Linked DNA regions of Nothobranchius furzeri. The protein of the gene in region 1 interacts with the protein of each later gene in a pairwise test. Links are inferred from orthologs where the notes say so. Each region holds a gene or a part of one and is shown in the gene's direction. Other genes may lie near its edges.

Region 1 (4,298 bases):
AATGCGCAAAGCCATAATTTGAGCTATTTCCAATTTCAGCTGCAGGAATAAATAATTAGAAGACCAAATTTGCACCCAGGATCTGAGCATGACAAGGCTCCAAACACGGCGTGCAAGTTGCAAGCAAACACCCGACCCATGTTTGCCTTCAGGAGCTCATAAATCACTCCGTGGCATGAATGAGGCGGACATTAAAGAGAGCAATTGTGGCGTAATGTGCACAAATAAAAACCCCACTTACGTTTTCATGCGGGACTCCCCGATTCCTAAGCTAAAAGGGGCCGAGCTCTCTGCGTGCGTTTGGTAATAATTCATTTTTATGGCTTGTTTAACACGCGGCTCTGACTCGGAGACAGCAGCAGCAGCAGCTCAGGTTAAAGCTGCTCTTATTTAGCGTCGCTTCTCCACTCACACTGGTGGAATCTGTGATTTTTTTTATTTAAAGACAAGACTGGTTTGTGTGCGTTTCAAACCCCTCACTTCAATAAAGGGATTATGAACATTTTAGCACTCTTGCGCAGCTTTGATTGGATTTATGGGAACTCAATAATCCAGTTTAACTCAGAATCACTAAAAAACACCAGTTGAGATGAAAGCTGCAGTGATTTTTCAAAACGTGTCAAACTTAGCCGAAAGCAGAAAATCAGCTCTAACTTTGGCTGTGTGCGTGTGTGGGTGTGTGTGTGTGCGCGCGCGCGCGCGTGTGTTCAGATGAGGGGGTGGTAGGAGGAAGCAGGGGGCAGATGCTGCTCTCCTGCACTACGGGCCTGCATAACCAAATCATTCCGAGACAGCGCGCCTTTTCTGCGCCCCCGCGGCCACACAAAGAGCCGCGGAATCTCCGCGGGGCCCGGCTGGCCTCAAGCAGCAGAGACGCGATGGATCCTCCGCGCCCACTCACTACAGAGGCAGCTGCTGGAGAGGGGTGGGGGTGGAATGGAAACCAGTTCGTCTCTCTCTCTCTCTCTCTCTCTCTCTCTCTCTCTCTCTCTCTCTCTCTCTCTCTCTCTCTCTCTCTCTCTCTCTCTCTCTCTCTCTCTCTCTCTCTCTCTCTCTCTCTCTCTCTCTCCCTCCCTCTGCTATGTAGTTTGCAACAAGTCTTTGAACATTTTCACATCTAATTTTGTTTTTCTAACATCCTAAAACATTACATTTAAGACAAAGTAGAACTACATTTGACTAATGGAAAAAAGCTGCACATTTGAATGTTGCTAATATTTTACTGATACTGCTTGTTTGAGTACCAGTGAGACAACTTAGACGTTTGTAGGAAAAATAAATAGAGTGTAAAATCTGAATCACGCTTTTCTGAGCTGAATTAATCTACTTAATAACAGAAGCACGTTTATTTAAGTGCATGTCTATCTTCAGCCTGAGGGGGCGCTCATCCCTCCATCTGATCCTTCCCTTCGCCCTCCCTCCCTCCCTCTCCTCTATTCCTTCCTCGGTTAGAGGTTGGGCATCTGCTACAACCCCCTCACTCCCCTCCGCTCTCGCGCCTCCCGTGACCATTCGTTTTCCCAGCAGCTTTATTTGATGAACTTAACAGGATAATCAGCCCACTCGCACCTCGGGCTACATATGCGCATTAGCAGGCTTCGCATTATTATATCATTTGATCACCATACATGCATAATGAATACATGCGGGACTGGAACTCTGGTAGATGGCTGACCTATGACCCGAGAACGGAACAAAACATTAATATCACATCACCTTAATGGTTTTGTCTCCTAATCACGTTTGTGCGCTACTTCAGGCACATTTTAAACGTAATTTGAGCTTTTTGCGCATCCTTTTGCGGTGTTTTATGAATATATGACCGGATCATCTCTCCTCGTAACGTGAAATGCACAAACCTGCTCCTGCTGCGACCTTAAGAGGAAACGAAATTCTGCTGGAAGGTGGCTTGGTGCGATGGGATGGATGTATTTAACAGGGGAAACACGTCCTCTCCATCACATTGTAACAATATTTGCCCAGAAAATCCCTTAATGTTCCAGCGTGAAACATTTCACATCGGAATGGGACATTAATAGCCTAAAGATAGCCCGCGGCTGCAGCGAGCGCGCGCACTCTCAGCCATCCATCCTTCCTGGACAGAATGACACATGCGACACCAGGGCTTATACGCACGGAGACGCCAACACACGCGCGCACGCACACAGACTCACACTTCTCTGTTCTAAAAATACCTGAGGTCAGAGTGCAGAGCGGTCCACCTTGGATGACATCTCTCCTCAGTGTGAGATTGCGCAGCAGGGGGGTTAAAAGACACCGGGTTCACCGTCTCAGCAGCTCCTCGTGTGTCCCGGAGCTGTCCACCTCCGTCTGCCTCCCAGCCCATTGTTTGCTCGGCCAATACATTAGTGGCGACGCGCGTCACCTTGATCGACGAGCGCCTGGAATTTAAATAGCCCCTCAAACACCAATCTGTCACCGGCTAAAGGGACAAGGACCCTCACTGGCTGACCCGTGCCCACGTGACAGTGCCCGTTCATTGATATCCCCAGCACCCCCCTCCCTGCACTGATAGGGACAGAAAGGTAAAGGTTGGCACGGTCACTTTAGGGTGAGAGTGTGGAGAGATCAGAGGGGGAGAGGACAGTCTCCTGGTCCCAGACTAACGATGCTACAATGAGCAGCTTCCTAGATTACTCGGTGATGAGCGGTGAGGGTGGCTCATGTTCGATCAGGGCTTTCCACTCGGACCACGGGATTACAACTTTCCAGTCCTGCGGGGCTGCAATCAGCAGCTGCGGGGCGGATGAGCACTTCATGGCAAACAGGACTTCCCCTGACAGCATCCCTCACCAGCCGGCCTCTTACCAGCCTACTGCCACCTCTATGGGTCTCTCCTATGGGGCCCACCCGGCCTGTGGCTCTAACTATGGGCCCCAAAGTTTCTGCGCCACGTACAACCACTACACACTCAACCAGGAAGTAGACTCTGCACCTGCATTCCCCCAGTGCAGCCCTTTGATGTTTTCAGGTAACATCTCTTCCTCCATGGTGTCTCAGCATCGCCATGGCTACAGTGCTGCCACCTTGGGCCAGCTGCAGTATGCTGCTTATGGCGGGGGTCATGAACAGGCACCTTCTTATCCTGGGGCCTCCAACCCGCTGTCACCTCTGCATGCAGCTCACCTGGAAGCTTGCTGCTCACCTCTGTCAGAGAGCGCATCTTCTGCGCAGACTTTCGACTGGATGAAAGTCAAAAGAAATCCACCGAAAACAGGTGGGTGCAGAGCTGTACCAGCACGAGGGAGATAGGTGGGAATCTAGTCTGTTGCTATTATTGGTTTTAATTGGTTTTAATCGGTCAAGCAGACTGGAATCCACACAGGAGATGTTGACACTGCGAGCGCGTTGACGCGCAAACGCATTAAATGTCCATGTTTCCACTTCAAGCGTGCGCCCCTTTCTTTTAAAAGTTGGTTTAAAGACATTTGTCTTTAACTATAGAGTGTGTTTTATATGTAAAATAATTAGGTTTTCTTTGCCTGCTGCGTAAAAGTTGGTTCTTTTGGATAATCGCACAGTTTGTGCGTCCTTTGGGTGAGAAAATAAACTTGAATCCCTCTTCCTGTCCCCAGGTCGCTCCGGCGAGTACGGCTATGCGGGCCAGCCAAACATCGTCCGGACCAACTTCACCACCAAGCAGCTGACAGAGCTGGAAAAAGAATTCCACTTCAACAAATACCTGACCCGGGCGCGCCGAGTGGAGATTGCTGCTGCGCTGCAGCTGAATGAGACTCAGGTGAAGATTTGGTTTCAGAATCGGAGGATGAAGCAGAAAAAGCGCGAGAAAGAGGGGATGCTGCCGGCTAAGGTCCAGTCATCGCACCCGGAAGAAATAAATCAAGAGAAATTAGACGATGCCGCTTCTGAGAGGTCCGTCTCAGCGCCGTCCACGCCCTCTCCCAGCTCATCCACGGTGTCCTCCACTGGCACGGACACGTACACCTCTACCTGAGCAGCCTATCTGGGCCACACGGGCCTGTAAATACCAACGTTTAAATGTATCAAAACCAGAGTCTTTGTTCGTGAATGACATTGTGTGAACATTTATTAAAGTTAGTCCTCCATCCGGGAGCTTTTGGATCACCCTGGAGCTTTAGGTTTAAATTGTGCAATGTGTCTGCAAGAACATCTCTGTATCTTCAGATAAGTTTGATCTGTAACGTGAGCAAAAAAAGGCAGACACGAGTCTGCAAACGAAAACAAATGTAAAGTGGTGTATCCGGGTCATGGCGGGTATGCAGCGCAGGGTGCTGTTAAGTGAGCAACGCAATGAC
Region 2 (4,004 bases), on another chromosome or scaffold:
ATAATTATGACTTAGCTAACTCATAATTAGGATTTAGTATCATAATTATGACTTAGCTAACTCATAATTAGGATTTAGTATCTCATAATTATGACTTAGCTAACTCATAATTAGGATTTGGTATCTCATAATTATGACTTAGCTAACTCATAATTAGGATTTAGTATCTCATATATATGATTTAGTATCTCTTAATTATTACTTAGTATCTCATAATTATGATTTAGTATTTCACACTTATGATTTAGTACCTCATATTCATGACTTAGCTACCTCATAATTATGATTTAGTATTTCATACTTATGATTTGGTACCTCATATTTATGACTTAGCTACCTCATAATTATGATTTAGTATCACAAAAATATAATTTAATATCTCAAAAGTATGACTTGGCTATCTCAAAAATAGGAGATGCTATCTCATTACTTTTATTTAGTATTTCTAAATTATGATTTAGTTTCTCATAATTATGATTTAGCATCTCATAAATATGACTTAGCTATCTCACAGTTATGAGATAGTGCCTTATCATATTGAGACACAAAGTCTTAATTATGTGATTTATTTTTCTGAGTGGCGGGAATGGGCTTCCATACTTATTGCTTTAATGTTCTTTGCATGGTGTTTTTTGCTGCTGTATCTGTGCATCTCCTGGTAATATCTATTTTTTAGTACACTAACTATAAAAAAAATAATATGCAATCCAAATGAAAACTGTACATTGACATTTAAACATTTTCACCAGTAAAATGTTATTCCATAGTATAAACAAACAGGGAAAACAATCTGCAAATTGAAATCCAAAGTTAATCTCATTTAAACTCAAATCAAACTCACGGATTACATTTTTAGCCTTGATCGGGTCTTTTAAACTCCCTCGTCAATAAGGATATTTTTTTTGTTTATGAAAATATCATAAAACTCTTCGGGACCAGATGTCACCAGATGGGTTGACAGTGGTGTTATTCTCTCCTTCATCCCTGTCTAAAGTTTCCACTGTGCTGCTATTTAAGGAAACAGAAACAATTCCTTTGGGAATTGCATGGTATTCCAACGTGACCTCCCAGTTAGGGATCAGGTCAAATGTCAAAGGCTCTGGAATAAGGAAACCAGCAGGAAGTAGGTAATAATTGTAACAGATTGAGTTAAAGTGAGGGATTCCTTGAGAAAAAGTCAACTACAAGTAAAATAAACAAATAAGTGAACTTCAAACTATTTGACAGGATCTCACAACGAAATGTGACTTGGCTATTGATCCAACTGTCTCAAGTATCTCCAGGAATTCCTTTTTCTTTGTCGTCATGGTAGCAGCCAGTCAGCTCTGTCATATAAAAGGCCCTCCTCTCCAGAGTCCTGAGACACAACAGCAGAGAGAGTCCGACCTGCTACAGCACAGCCAGGAGGGTAGATCAGACCCCCAATCTCAAGACTCAACAAAGCTGTTAGCGTGTAACGCAACAAGATGACAAATCTTTTAGCTTTACTTGTTGCAACACAGGTAAGAAATACTGCTGTTACATATATTAATCATTATATAGACAGTTTATTATTCTAGCAAATGACTTTTCTTTTAAATAATGGCATTGCTTTTTAGACATGTTTGATATCCACAAAGAGTCAAAATAACACAAATTTGTCATTTTGTGTTGGTTAAACAGCTAACATCATCAGAATTCCTTAATGTTTACCTGTTTCAGAATGTTTATTTAAAAGTTTTTCCTAATTTTTAGTCCAACTGCCCCTCATCCACTAGATGCCAGCTATATGAAACAGAACTTTGTTTCCCTCACAGGTTTTGACTCTAGCCCGATCCCAGGTGTGCCCTCGGAGATGTCAGTGTCCTACAGAGATCCCCGCTTGCCTTCCCGGGGTGCCCCTGGTCCTGGATGACTGCGCCTGCTGCCTGGTGTGTGCAGGTCAAAAAGGTCAAGTCTGCTCTGAGCTGAACCCATGTGACACCCGTAAAGGGCTGCTGTGTAATTACTCTGTCAACATCCACAGGAGGACTGGTGTCTGTGTCGGTGAGTGGGCTGCATTTACACTCACAGATCCTGGAATAAACTACCTCAAGAGCAAAATGAAATAAGTAAATGTCTTTGTTCGCTGTTTGGTGTCCTTGTTCCAGTCGGCGCAGGAAATGTGTGTGTTTTGGATGGATCTGTGTATCAGAATGGGCAGATCTTCTTCCCCAGCTGTAAGTACCAGTGCATCTGCAGAGATGGTCAGATCGGCTGTGTGCCTCGCTGCAACTTGGATGTCATGCTGCCGGGTCCCGACTGTCCAGTGCCGCGTAAGATCCAGGTGCCTGGAGAGTGCTGTGAGAAGTGGGTGTGTGAGCCCCAGACGGAGTCCAGTGCCCTGGGGGGATTTGCATTGGCAGGTGAGTGATCAGAACACCCAAAACTTCCTGTGAGCCAAGACTCTAAAAGGTTAGGTACATGTTTGGAATGTAGCATCAACGTGATGAATTTTTCTGTCAGAGCTTGGTCAGAAGTACGTTGAGGAAAAGACCCCTTCAAACCTTTTATGCTTCTGTGTTTTCAGCCTTTCGTCAGGAAGAAACCGTCAGCTTTAACGGGTGGGACCCCAGCCTGAACTGCATCGAGCAGACCACAGAGTGGGGGGCATGCTCTCAAACCTGCGGCATGGGGGTGTCCACCAGGGTCACAAACAAGAACGATCGGTGTGAGATGGTGAAGCAGAGTCGTCTTTGTGTTATAAGGCCCTGTGATGAGCAGCAGGACCAGCTCACACAGCTTGCACCAAGGGTACGTTCATTTTGGGATTTTAGGATTTAAACTGCACGGAAATTAAGAAAATATAAGCTTTTAATATCAAGAAAAACTTTTCTCATGTTTTAATTGCAATAAATGTCTCTGCTGTCCTAGCTGAGAGGCAGTAGGTGCCAGAAGGTGGAAAGAAGCAACAACGCAGTTCACTTTTCCTACAAGAATTGCACCAGCGTTCAGGCATACAAGCCTCGCTACTGTGGCTCCTGCACAGACGGCCGCTGCTGCACCCCCCACAGAACCAAAACCAGCCTGGTGGAGTTCCTGTGCCCCAACGGTAAAAGCACCCGGAGGCCTGTCATGGCCATTTTGACCTGTGCCTGCCACAGCCACTGCCCCCGAGACGACGGCGTGTGGGAGCCATCGGAGCTCACATACAGTGGCATGAGAATATAGGAGGTTGTGAGTCGGGTGTAAACGGCTATAAGCTGGCTAAGAAAACAACAAAACAGTCCACATTATACAAAATAGTCATTAAAGTGGTGGTGTGTATTTTCCTGGTGCTAGGGGGAAGTACATACATTTCAGGGTAGTTTTACACCGTCTCAACGTGACTGTCGCTAGTTTAAAAAAAACATCATGGAAAGTGTTGTTGCCTGAGGAGCAGAAAGCATGTGACCTCGGCGTGACTCCTCAGACTTTGATGGACTTTCCTTTAATCCCATCGAGAGAATGCAATGCCGATTGTATTTTTCTGGCGTTGCGGTTTCTAGATCTGCTCGGGGTCCTGAGCCTGCCGATGACGTCATCGGCCTAAATATATTGCATCTCGTTTTCAATCTTGTTCTTACACATCCGTTTTGGAAAGAGTTTAGCAGTCTTGTTGTTAATTTTATGTTTCTTACTACCCAAATGTTTCTGAACGTGGTAACGTCATAAAGTCGTGCACCCGGCCAATCACACAGTGTGACGTCATAAAGAGGCACAGGATCCCGAACCGGCCAGAAGGAAACGTGGCGTCTAATATTGCATCCCACAAAGACACTAGACCCTATGTACTTTTTTATGGTTATATATTACAAAGCCGCCAAACTTTTTCAAGGCATGGACATCATTTTATTCATTTTCAACAACATTTTGGTCAATTTTTCCAGAGATTAAAGGTAAAATGTACACATTGACACTTTAATGTACAAGAGGCCTGTAATTTTTATTTTAGACAATAACTTAAAATTTCTGAAGGTTTTCATATTGTTTGTCTCTCCTGGAGA
Region 3 (4,225 bases), on another chromosome or scaffold:
ATGTCATTGCCCACGTGAGCATTGAAGTCCCCCAGCAGGACAATGGAGTCCCCTGATGGAGCACTATCTAGCACTCGTCCCAGGGACTCCAAAAAGGGTGGGTACTCTGAACTGATATTTGGCCCATAAGCACAAACAACAGTCAGGACCCGTTCCCCGACCCGAAGGCACAGGGAAGCTACCTTCTCATCCCCCAGGGTAAACCCCAACACACAGGCAGAGAGACTTGGGGTTAACAAAAAGCCAACCCCAGCCCTCCGCCTCTCACCCGGGTGCAACTCCAGCAAAGGAGAGTGTCCCACCCCTCTCAAGGACTTGGGTTCCAGAGCCAATGCTATGTGTCGAGGTGAGTCCGACTATATCTAGCCGGTACCGCTCAACCTCTGCCACAAGCTCCTGCTCCTTCCCCGCCAGTGAGGTGACGTTCCATGTCCCAAAGTCCAGTTTCCTTGTCCGGGGATCGGACCACCAAGGCTCCCACCTTGGTCTGTCACCCGATCCACACTGCACCGGACCCTTCATGCTCCTCCTGCAGGTGGTGGGTCCACAGTTGGATGAGCCCATGTATCCGGTTCGGGCTGGGCCCGGTCAGGCCCCATGGGCGAAAGCCCGGCCACCAAGCGTTCGCTCACGGGCCTCAACCCCAGGCCTGGCTCCAGGGTGGGACCCCGGTAAGTTAACCCTCCGGGCCGGGTACTCCGACTCTTTGAATTTACATCCATGAAAGATCCTTTGAACCTTTCTTTGTCTCACCCTTCACCTAAGACCAATTTGTCATGGGAGACCCTACCAGGGGCACAAAGTGCCACAGACAACATAGCTCCTAGGATCATTAGGGCACTGAAACTCCTCCACCACGATAAGGTGACGGTTCAAGGAGTAGTAGGTAATATTGAATAAACTAATTTAGTTATAACGTTTTATCAGCAGGCGTGTGTAATTTCTAATCAAATATATTATATCTATAAAAAAACATCCGAAAGTGAATTTCCAAAAAACAAGTACAACTATCACCAAGAAAGAAATGAGAATGAGGTAAACATGTTTTTAACAAATGAAATAAAAAAGGAACAAAAGACGAATAGAATTTTTAAGAGTAGAAAACCAAAATGAAAATGTGATTTTATTCTATTTTTACCATTTTTTCCCCTTGCCTTATTTATTATGATATATTTTTTGCCATGTTTATTTATTTTTAAGCTCTTTATTTCTGTTAGTCTGGATTCAGGCGAATATGGTTATATTCATTAATAATTTTTTTTTCTTTATGTGTGTGTGTGTGTCAAATTCAGAAAAAGGAAACAAAAACTAAGTAACAATTTATTTGAGTGACTATGATAGAAACTACAAACAAAAAGACGTAAGGACGTCGGTCCCACTTCCGGTGTCGTACAGCTACTGCGGCGGATGTTGATGTTTTGTTAGTAGCTCGCCTCGGACAGCGATGGGAGCTACTTGATATTTTTGTGGTCATCCTCTCTGTTCAGTGCGCGTTTCTCTGAGAGGTTTCCGTGGTTCTCGGTGTCGTTTCTCTCCCGGTGTCTTTACCGGGGTGAGATCGAGTCGGGAGATGATGGAGGACTTTGATGAGATCTACGAAGAGGAGGAAGAAGAAGAGGACGAGGACAGGGCCGCGGAAGAGCAGCTCCTCAAGTATGCTCCGGACCCGGTGGTGGTGCGAGGCTCCGGCCACGCTACTGTGTAAGCTACCGGCGGGACTGGCGGGGATCGTTCCCGGTAAAAGACAACTTGTCGGGGTGTGAGGGGAAACTTGCGGACTAGCTGGTGACTTAGCCGAGTTAGCTAGCTGCTAACAACTGGCTACAGTGAGCAGTTAGAGGACGGCGGTGAAGAGTTTGTTTTGTTTTCTCATCGTGAATTCACCATAATAATTGTGTTATTTTAGCCACTGACAAGTCAGCCCGCTGTTGATACCAACGGCACTCTTTGTCGAGCATTCAGCATTGTTTTTTAATTATAAAAACAAAGTTACTGTGGTTAACTATATTTACTAACGTCCGTTTCATTCCTCATATGTAACAGCTGGACTCAGTTTCCCGAATCTTGTCTCTTCCGGTCAGACTTTTTCGAGTTTAGACGGTTTACACATAAAAAATACTAGATGATACTGTTCACCCAAGCTGCTCCATCTTCTTGGTGTAGATATTCTGAAGCATCTAAAATGTACCTTTTTATGCTGCAAGAGTTTAAAACCTGGCCTAAATTATTTATTTTCTTTCAAATATCTTAAACATTCTGCCAACCCTTTCTAGATGTATAGTCAGTATCTCCAGGCTTTTTGAAGTGGTCTCAAGGTTACTTTAAGGTGCCTTTTCACCAATTTGCTGCCAACTTTTTTGTCCAAAAATAAGCCGCCCTCTGGATTTCAGATCTAGAATCAGTGCAGTTGGTCAGGCCTAGGTTCAGCAACATCATGTGCCCCAAGAATGAGGTCTGCTGAACTTACTGAATAATCAGATTAATCCATCAGTGGGGTTTTTCTTCCCTGATGGCATGTTCCCAGATAACAGTGCCAGGAGCCATCAGTCTCAAACTGTGGAAGAGTGGTTCAGGGAGCACGAGACACATGGATCGTCCACCGCAGAGCCCAGACTATAACATCACTGAGTCTCTGGGGTATGCCAGAAAAGGCTTTGTGCAGCGGTTGGACTCTCAAGGTCTTGGTGGAAAAATAATGCAACACTGTATGAAAAGAAAAACTTGTAAATAAGTGAAGTTAAACATCTGAACAAAGATTGCAATAACCCGAGATGGAGAAAAGATAACTTGTCTGCTTGTTTTGTTCCTGTTTAAATGAAGAGATCAGCTGTGTATCGAATGTGGCAAAAGAATATACTTCACACCACCAGAAACAACATAATGCGGTACTAAAAGCCAGATCAAGACTGAATTTAAGTAGAAAACTCACCCAAGACACATCCAGTGTTATCGCAACATCTTGTTCCATCAGAATGTAGGCGGTTAAAAACTGCTGCCACCTAGCAGACGGAGTGAACTACGCCACACAAACAAATTACAGTAAATGTTTGCATGTAAATTCTCAGTAGAAATCGATACACAGCATTTAATTATTGATTCAGTATCATAAAACAGAATATCACAATATTTCAGTTATATAATCCCTAACATAATCTCTGTTATGTTTACATATTGTATAAAAGCAGAGGCTATGCTGTGAACTGGTTTGTGAATCAGCTGATCTTGTTCTTGTCATTTTCTCTTTTAGTTACAAATTTAGAATCACATGAACCTTCATCCTGCTGTTTAAAGCAAACTAAACCGTAATCGTATGATCAGCTATGCCGTGTTGAGCTTATTTCACTTTATCTGTAGGTTTTCAGTTTAACTCGTAAAACTTCTTTCCGGAGTATTTCTCTTATCCGATGGCTCCATCTAGTGGCTCACAAGCATATCACACAAAAAAATCTGTTGCTCTGTTTAAGATCGCAACTTCACGTATAAATGTGCATCTGTAGCCGACAAACAGATCTAAAACACGTTGTTTTACGAGTATTATTCTCATGTCATGTTGTGTTCTCATATATTTATATTTTAGAGACTTACTTGTCCATGGAAAGTTCATCATCTCTGCATCAGCCGAGGTATTCCTTAAATTTGATGCAAGTAAGAGGTAGTCTAACGCTGTTGGTTAGTTCTGATCGGCACTCAGTTTCCTATTGCACGGAGCTCTGCGGGGCAGGGGGCGTGCTTGGCAAAGATAAATAAATAAATAAAAGACACATTGCTTACATTTTATCACAGTACATGATGAGACAACCGCTTTTATGGATTTCTGAAAAATCATACATCATTTCTGAAAGCGGAAAACTCCAGAAAGCAGCTTTAAAAGGGATGTAAGAAAATATCGATATAACAATGCCATACCATACCAATTTATTTATAAAGCACCATTTCAAAATAGCATGGCAGCTAACCAACCTGCTGTACAGAAAAGAGCCAAATGCTTGAACAAATCAACAAAGCACAATGAAAGCATGAAAATCAGGTAAAATACATAAAAACATAGCATAAATAATCAGGGATAAATATTCCTACTAAAAACAATAGAATAAGAGAGCAGTTAACTGCACTATCAAAAATAAAAATTAATGCGATGAATGATAAAAAACATTTGAAATGGCACAAATAAAACCAAAGACGCTACAAGATTGTGAAAGGTGTTAAAAGTAAGCTACTGAATCAT
Region 4 (4,155 bases), on another chromosome or scaffold:
AGGAATACTTTGAGGAGCAGCTGAAGCTCATCTACCCAGACAGGGTGTTCCCCGGAGGGAGAGAGGAGCAGATGATCCCCCCTTTGGAGGAGGAAATTGAAGAAGAGGAGGAACAGACGGCAGAGGAAAGCACGGCTCACATTGAATGCAACAAACTTCAAAATCCTGCAGAAAAGGGGACTAAAGTGGACCCAGGCCCAACAGACGACAAGGAGCCGGACACAGACAAGACCGAGACGGGATCAAAGGAGACGAGTGAAGTTGTGGGTAGCCTAGAGGAAAGACGTTTTCCTTCTGAGGAGGAAAAGCAAAAAGAGAACACAAAGATGGAGCAGGCGGAACACCGGCCCTCTGCTGAGAATGACGCCGAAGATGGAAACGCTTCCAGCTCTTTAAAACAGGAGAGTCCTGAGCTCCTGACAGACAAAACCGCAGCTCCTCCTGACTGTCAGGATAAGTCAGCCCCTGAATAAATGAAGAAACTGAAGAAAAGATGGCCGATCAAAGTCTTCCGCAGACTTGGGTTTGCACGTAGATCGTGTCAGAATGAGACAGACTGTAGATGCACAACTAAAGGAGTAAATAACCTCCGTGTGATGACTGAAGCGCACAAACGTACCGCGTTCGTCTCGTTTAAGTTGCAAATGCTCCTCCTAACCTCATAGATCATAGGCTGAGTCTTCTTCAGGAGCTGCGGTGCATGAAACACGTCTCCGGAGATTTTAACACACCAAGTAGCCGTTATGTTGGGAAATCAGTTGTTTTTAATAGTATTTTCTTTGTATTTATAGTGTTAAATAGGACCATAAGTGCTGTAAATAATGATCAAATCAGAGGAGAAATGAGCTGCTTGGTTATTTGTCTCAACTTTGTGCTGCCAGTTGAAACTTTCCTGTCCCTCCTCCCCCCCAGTAATCACAACGAAGCCTTGTTTTCACCGCAGTACCAACAATCCTTGATTTACTCGCTATCAGTCTGAGATAAAGCAGAGACGTCATAATCGGCTCCCGTTGTACTGCTTGTGTCCTAAATGACTGCATCCTGATTAGATGCTGTTGGGAATTACACATGTTATAAAACAGCGTTACACCGCGGGTTTACGCACCACTTTACCCGACTTTACTGTATTTATAATAAACAGGGTTACACGTCACGTACGACTGTGTTGTCGGGGGTTACCAGCTGACTTTGATTGTTGCTGTGGGGAATTTCAAATAGTCGCAGGATGAAATTATAAAATAAAAAAGCCACAGAATAAGGCGACACTCTGAGCTGATAAATGTGTTTTATTTAATCTTCTAGGTCATTTTACTTATACTTCAACACTGCTGTGATTTTAAATAAATGCTCTTATCAGATTTGTTTTAATCATTAGAGCTCCCACCCCTAGCCTGACCGCCCTCCCCGGACCTCCCCGACGGACACGTCTGTGTCTCCTTCTCAAAATTTTCCACCGAGATGTTCTGTTTTCACTCCAGCCAGCATCAGAGAAGATCACCAACGTCTGGATCGTTCTCCTAAATCAGCCGGATGGCTCTCTGGGGTTTTGTTTTATTTTCTCTCTGCGGACTTCTGAACGGGCTTGGTAAGTGAGGACGTTGGACCTGCAAAGTTGTGTTCCACGAGGCTTTATTTGGGAATTGATTTCATTGATTTGATTGGTAGTTAAACTGCAGGCTGTATCTTATTTTGATTTAAAACACAAGCTCTGCTTCTTAACCCAATCTGTGATTATCGCACCAGAGAGCTCTGTTCAGGAGTGCTGTGAGGTTGGAAGGGCAATCGCACAGAGGGATCAAGACTGTTCCTTCCTTCCTCGTGTCACCTCACTCATCTGCAGGTGAGCAACGTCTCAACTTAATCTAAAGTTTTAGTTGTGCTGCGCTTAATCTAAATCTCAAAGTGCTCAGAGGTTTAAAAACAAGCCAGAATTAAATGTTGTGTCTGAAGTGAACCAAAGTTTGTCGTTTCACACAAACACAAGAAGAGATAGATCGATGAACTTTATTGTCCACCTCGAATTGAGGCAGAAATTCGCCTTTGACATGGCTCACCTTACAATACAATCCATATCGCGTTCACACAAATACATAAAAAGACATTTAAAAGGTATTAGAATGTTATCGTAGAAAAATAAAACTTTAAGAATTCTAAATTGTAATTGCGGTGGGAACAAACGATGTCTTATAGACACCTTTCTTGTCCAGTGGAACCCTGAACCTCCTTCCTGACGGAAGTAACTGAAAATGTGGGTTCAATGGAGGGGTTGAGTCTGCACTGATCAGGGTAGCCGTCCCGTGCGCTGCTCGCTCGTGAAGAACAGAAAGATGCAGCAAACCTCTCTGAGTAGAGGGTGGGATGTGTGGTTCCTGAGGGCAGGAATTCCTCAGGAATTCACACTTCTGAACTTCTCTATAAGGGAGGAGCAACTCAGTAGATGTAGGTGTTCAGACCCCCCCCCCCCCTAACCCCCCCCCCCCCCCCCCAAGGGGTTTAAACTGACAAAAACTTTTTTGTGGATCCTTTCCTTCGTTCCTAAACCATTCTCATTTCATCTATCTGTTATCTTTAGCGCTGACTCCTCATAGTATCGCAGGGAGCCGGTGTCTGTCTGCAGCAGTCATTTGGCATGGGGGTGGAGGCACCATGATCATGTCTCCAGTTCATCTCAGACACACACACACACACACACACACACCCTATAGGGACAATATAGAACAGGAGTTTCCAAACTTTTCAAGATAAGAGCCAACATCGTACAGCTTATATTTCTTTGCTTTATTTGTTTTTAAATACACAATGTAGTTTATTGTGATTTATTTATTTGCACTCCTCTAAAATGACGTCATATTAGTAAAACTCAGAATGAAAAAACATCAAAAAGTGTTGCTGTAGGTCAGGTGTGTCCAAACGGTGGTCTGAGGGCCATTTACAGTCTTCAGAGCGATTTTGTGTGGCCCCCAATTACATTTATGAATTTTGTCTCCATAGCAGACTGTTGATGGAGAGAGGCACTTTCTAACATCCTCAGATTTATACTAATGCAGGTAAAACTGGAAAAATTAGAATATGGGGCAAAAGTTTTTTTATTTCAACTTTGACTGAGAGACCATCTAAAGCAGGGGTGCCCAGTCCTGGTCTTGGACCGGTATACAGCATGTTTTAGTTTAACCCTGTTTCAGCTCACCTAATTTCAATCAGCAGGAGATTAACTTCTACAGAGCTTGATGAGCTGCTGCATGGATGATTCAACCACCGAATCAAGCGTGTTGGAGCAGAGAATCCACTAAAACATGCTGGATACCGGCCCTCCAGGACCAGGATTGGGCACCGCGGCTCTAAATGCTCAGGAACACTTTGCAGGTGTTCTGGATTCATTAGCTGATTAATGTGACATGTTGAGCCTAGAACATTGAGCCATAGGGTATTACAACCCCCCAAGGCACTTTACAGCACAACCATTCATCCATTCACACACTGGTTGTGTGTGTGCCACAGCTGCTCTGGGGCACACTGACAGAAGCGTGGCTGTCGAACACCGGTGCCATCGGTCCCTCTGACCACCACCAGCAGGCAGAGTGGGTCAAGTGTCTTGCCCAAGGTCACAACTGCGACAGACTGAGCGGGACTCGATCACACCACCTTCCGGTTATGAGACAGGCACTTAACTACTCTGCCACTGCCGTCCCCATTTAGCTGCACTGTTGTCTCTGAAAACTGAAACTTTTTAGCAGCTCTTCTCTGCTTTTATAGTAGCACGGTCTGTCCATGTTTGTTTGTTTGTGTTCCTTCCAGATCAAATAGAACACATATGTCAGACACATGGTCCGCAGGCCGCATCTGGCCTGCGGAGCATTTTAATGTGGCCCGCGAGATAAATATCAAAAATACATTAAAACTGACCCGCTGGCCGATTTTACCGCAAAGACTTCACTCCCATGATGCTTTGCGGTGTCAGCGCGGAGCCGACGCGCCCCCTCCTTTGTGTTTTTTCCAGCGTCTGCTGCCAGTGTCTGCAGCTCCGCTGTCTCGGACAAACTAAACACTCCTCTCACTCAGCGCCGAGTTCACTCAGCTGTTTTCTGACATTGAAGCCCAGAAACGGAGATTCTAGCCGCTCAGTAATGTGTTCACGACTGAAAGAGAAACTTTTCC

What was found. The genes of interacting proteins can lie anywhere in the genome.
Region 2: the proteins of hoxa1a (region 1) and ccn3 interact in binary tests that used the Homo sapiens proteins (3 or more experiments, as listed by UniProt). The link is inferred for Nothobranchius furzeri from reciprocal best matches to the Homo sapiens genes HOXA1 and CCN3.
Region 3: the proteins of hoxa1a (region 1) and chic2 interact in binary tests that used the Homo sapiens proteins (3 or more experiments, as listed by UniProt). The two-hybrid records come from large-scale screens. The link is inferred for Nothobranchius furzeri from reciprocal best matches to the Homo sapiens genes HOXA1 and CHIC2.
Region 4: the proteins of hoxa1a (region 1) and fibulin-1 interact in binary tests that used the Homo sapiens proteins (3 or more experiments, as listed by UniProt). The link is inferred for Nothobranchius furzeri from reciprocal best matches to the Homo sapiens genes HOXA1 and FBLN1.

The regions. Positions count from the first base shown.
Region 1 is NC_091751.1:29,552,087-29,556,384, reverse strand, and holds the start of hoxa1a (homeobox protein Hox-A1a), read left to right. Parts: upstream 1-1,469; 5' UTR 1,470-2,637; coding exon 2,638-3,238; intron 3,239-3,596; coding exon 3,597-3,976; 3' UTR 3,977-4,298. UniProt on the Homo sapiens protein: Sequence-specific transcription factor. Regulates multiple developmental processes including brainstem, inner and outer ear, abducens nerve and cardiovascular development and morphogenesis as well as cognition and behavior.
Region 2 is NC_091745.1:41,805,709-41,809,712, reverse strand, and holds ccn3 (CCN family member 3), read left to right. Parts: upstream 1-1,378; 5' UTR 1,379-1,466; coding exon 1,467-1,502; intron 1,503-1,796; coding exon 1,797-2,025; intron 2,026-2,129; coding exon 2,130-2,384; intron 2,385-2,548; coding exon 2,549-2,772; intron 2,773-2,892; coding exon 2,893-3,189; 3' UTR 3,190-3,452; downstream 3,453-4,004. UniProt on the Homo sapiens protein: Immediate-early protein playing a role in various cellular processes including proliferation, adhesion, migration, differentiation and survival. Acts by binding to integrins or membrane receptors such as NOTCH1.
Region 3 is NC_091747.1:75,930,746-75,934,970, forward strand, and holds the start of chic2 (cysteine-rich hydrophobic domain-containing protein 2), read left to right. Parts: upstream 1-1,373; 5' UTR 1,374-1,570; coding exon 1,571-1,701; intron 1,702-4,225.
Region 4 is NC_091741.1:53,756,745-53,760,899, reverse strand, and holds the start of fibulin-1, read left to right. Parts: upstream 1-1,303; 5' UTR 1,304-1,530; coding exon 1,531-1,585; intron 1,586-1,743; coding exon 1,744-1,840; intron 1,841-4,155. Other genes in the region: trim24 (transcription intermediary factor 1-alpha), read left to right, coding at 1-473. UniProt on the Homo sapiens protein: Incorporated into fibronectin-containing matrix fibers. May play a role in cell adhesion and migration along protein fibers within the extracellular matrix (ECM).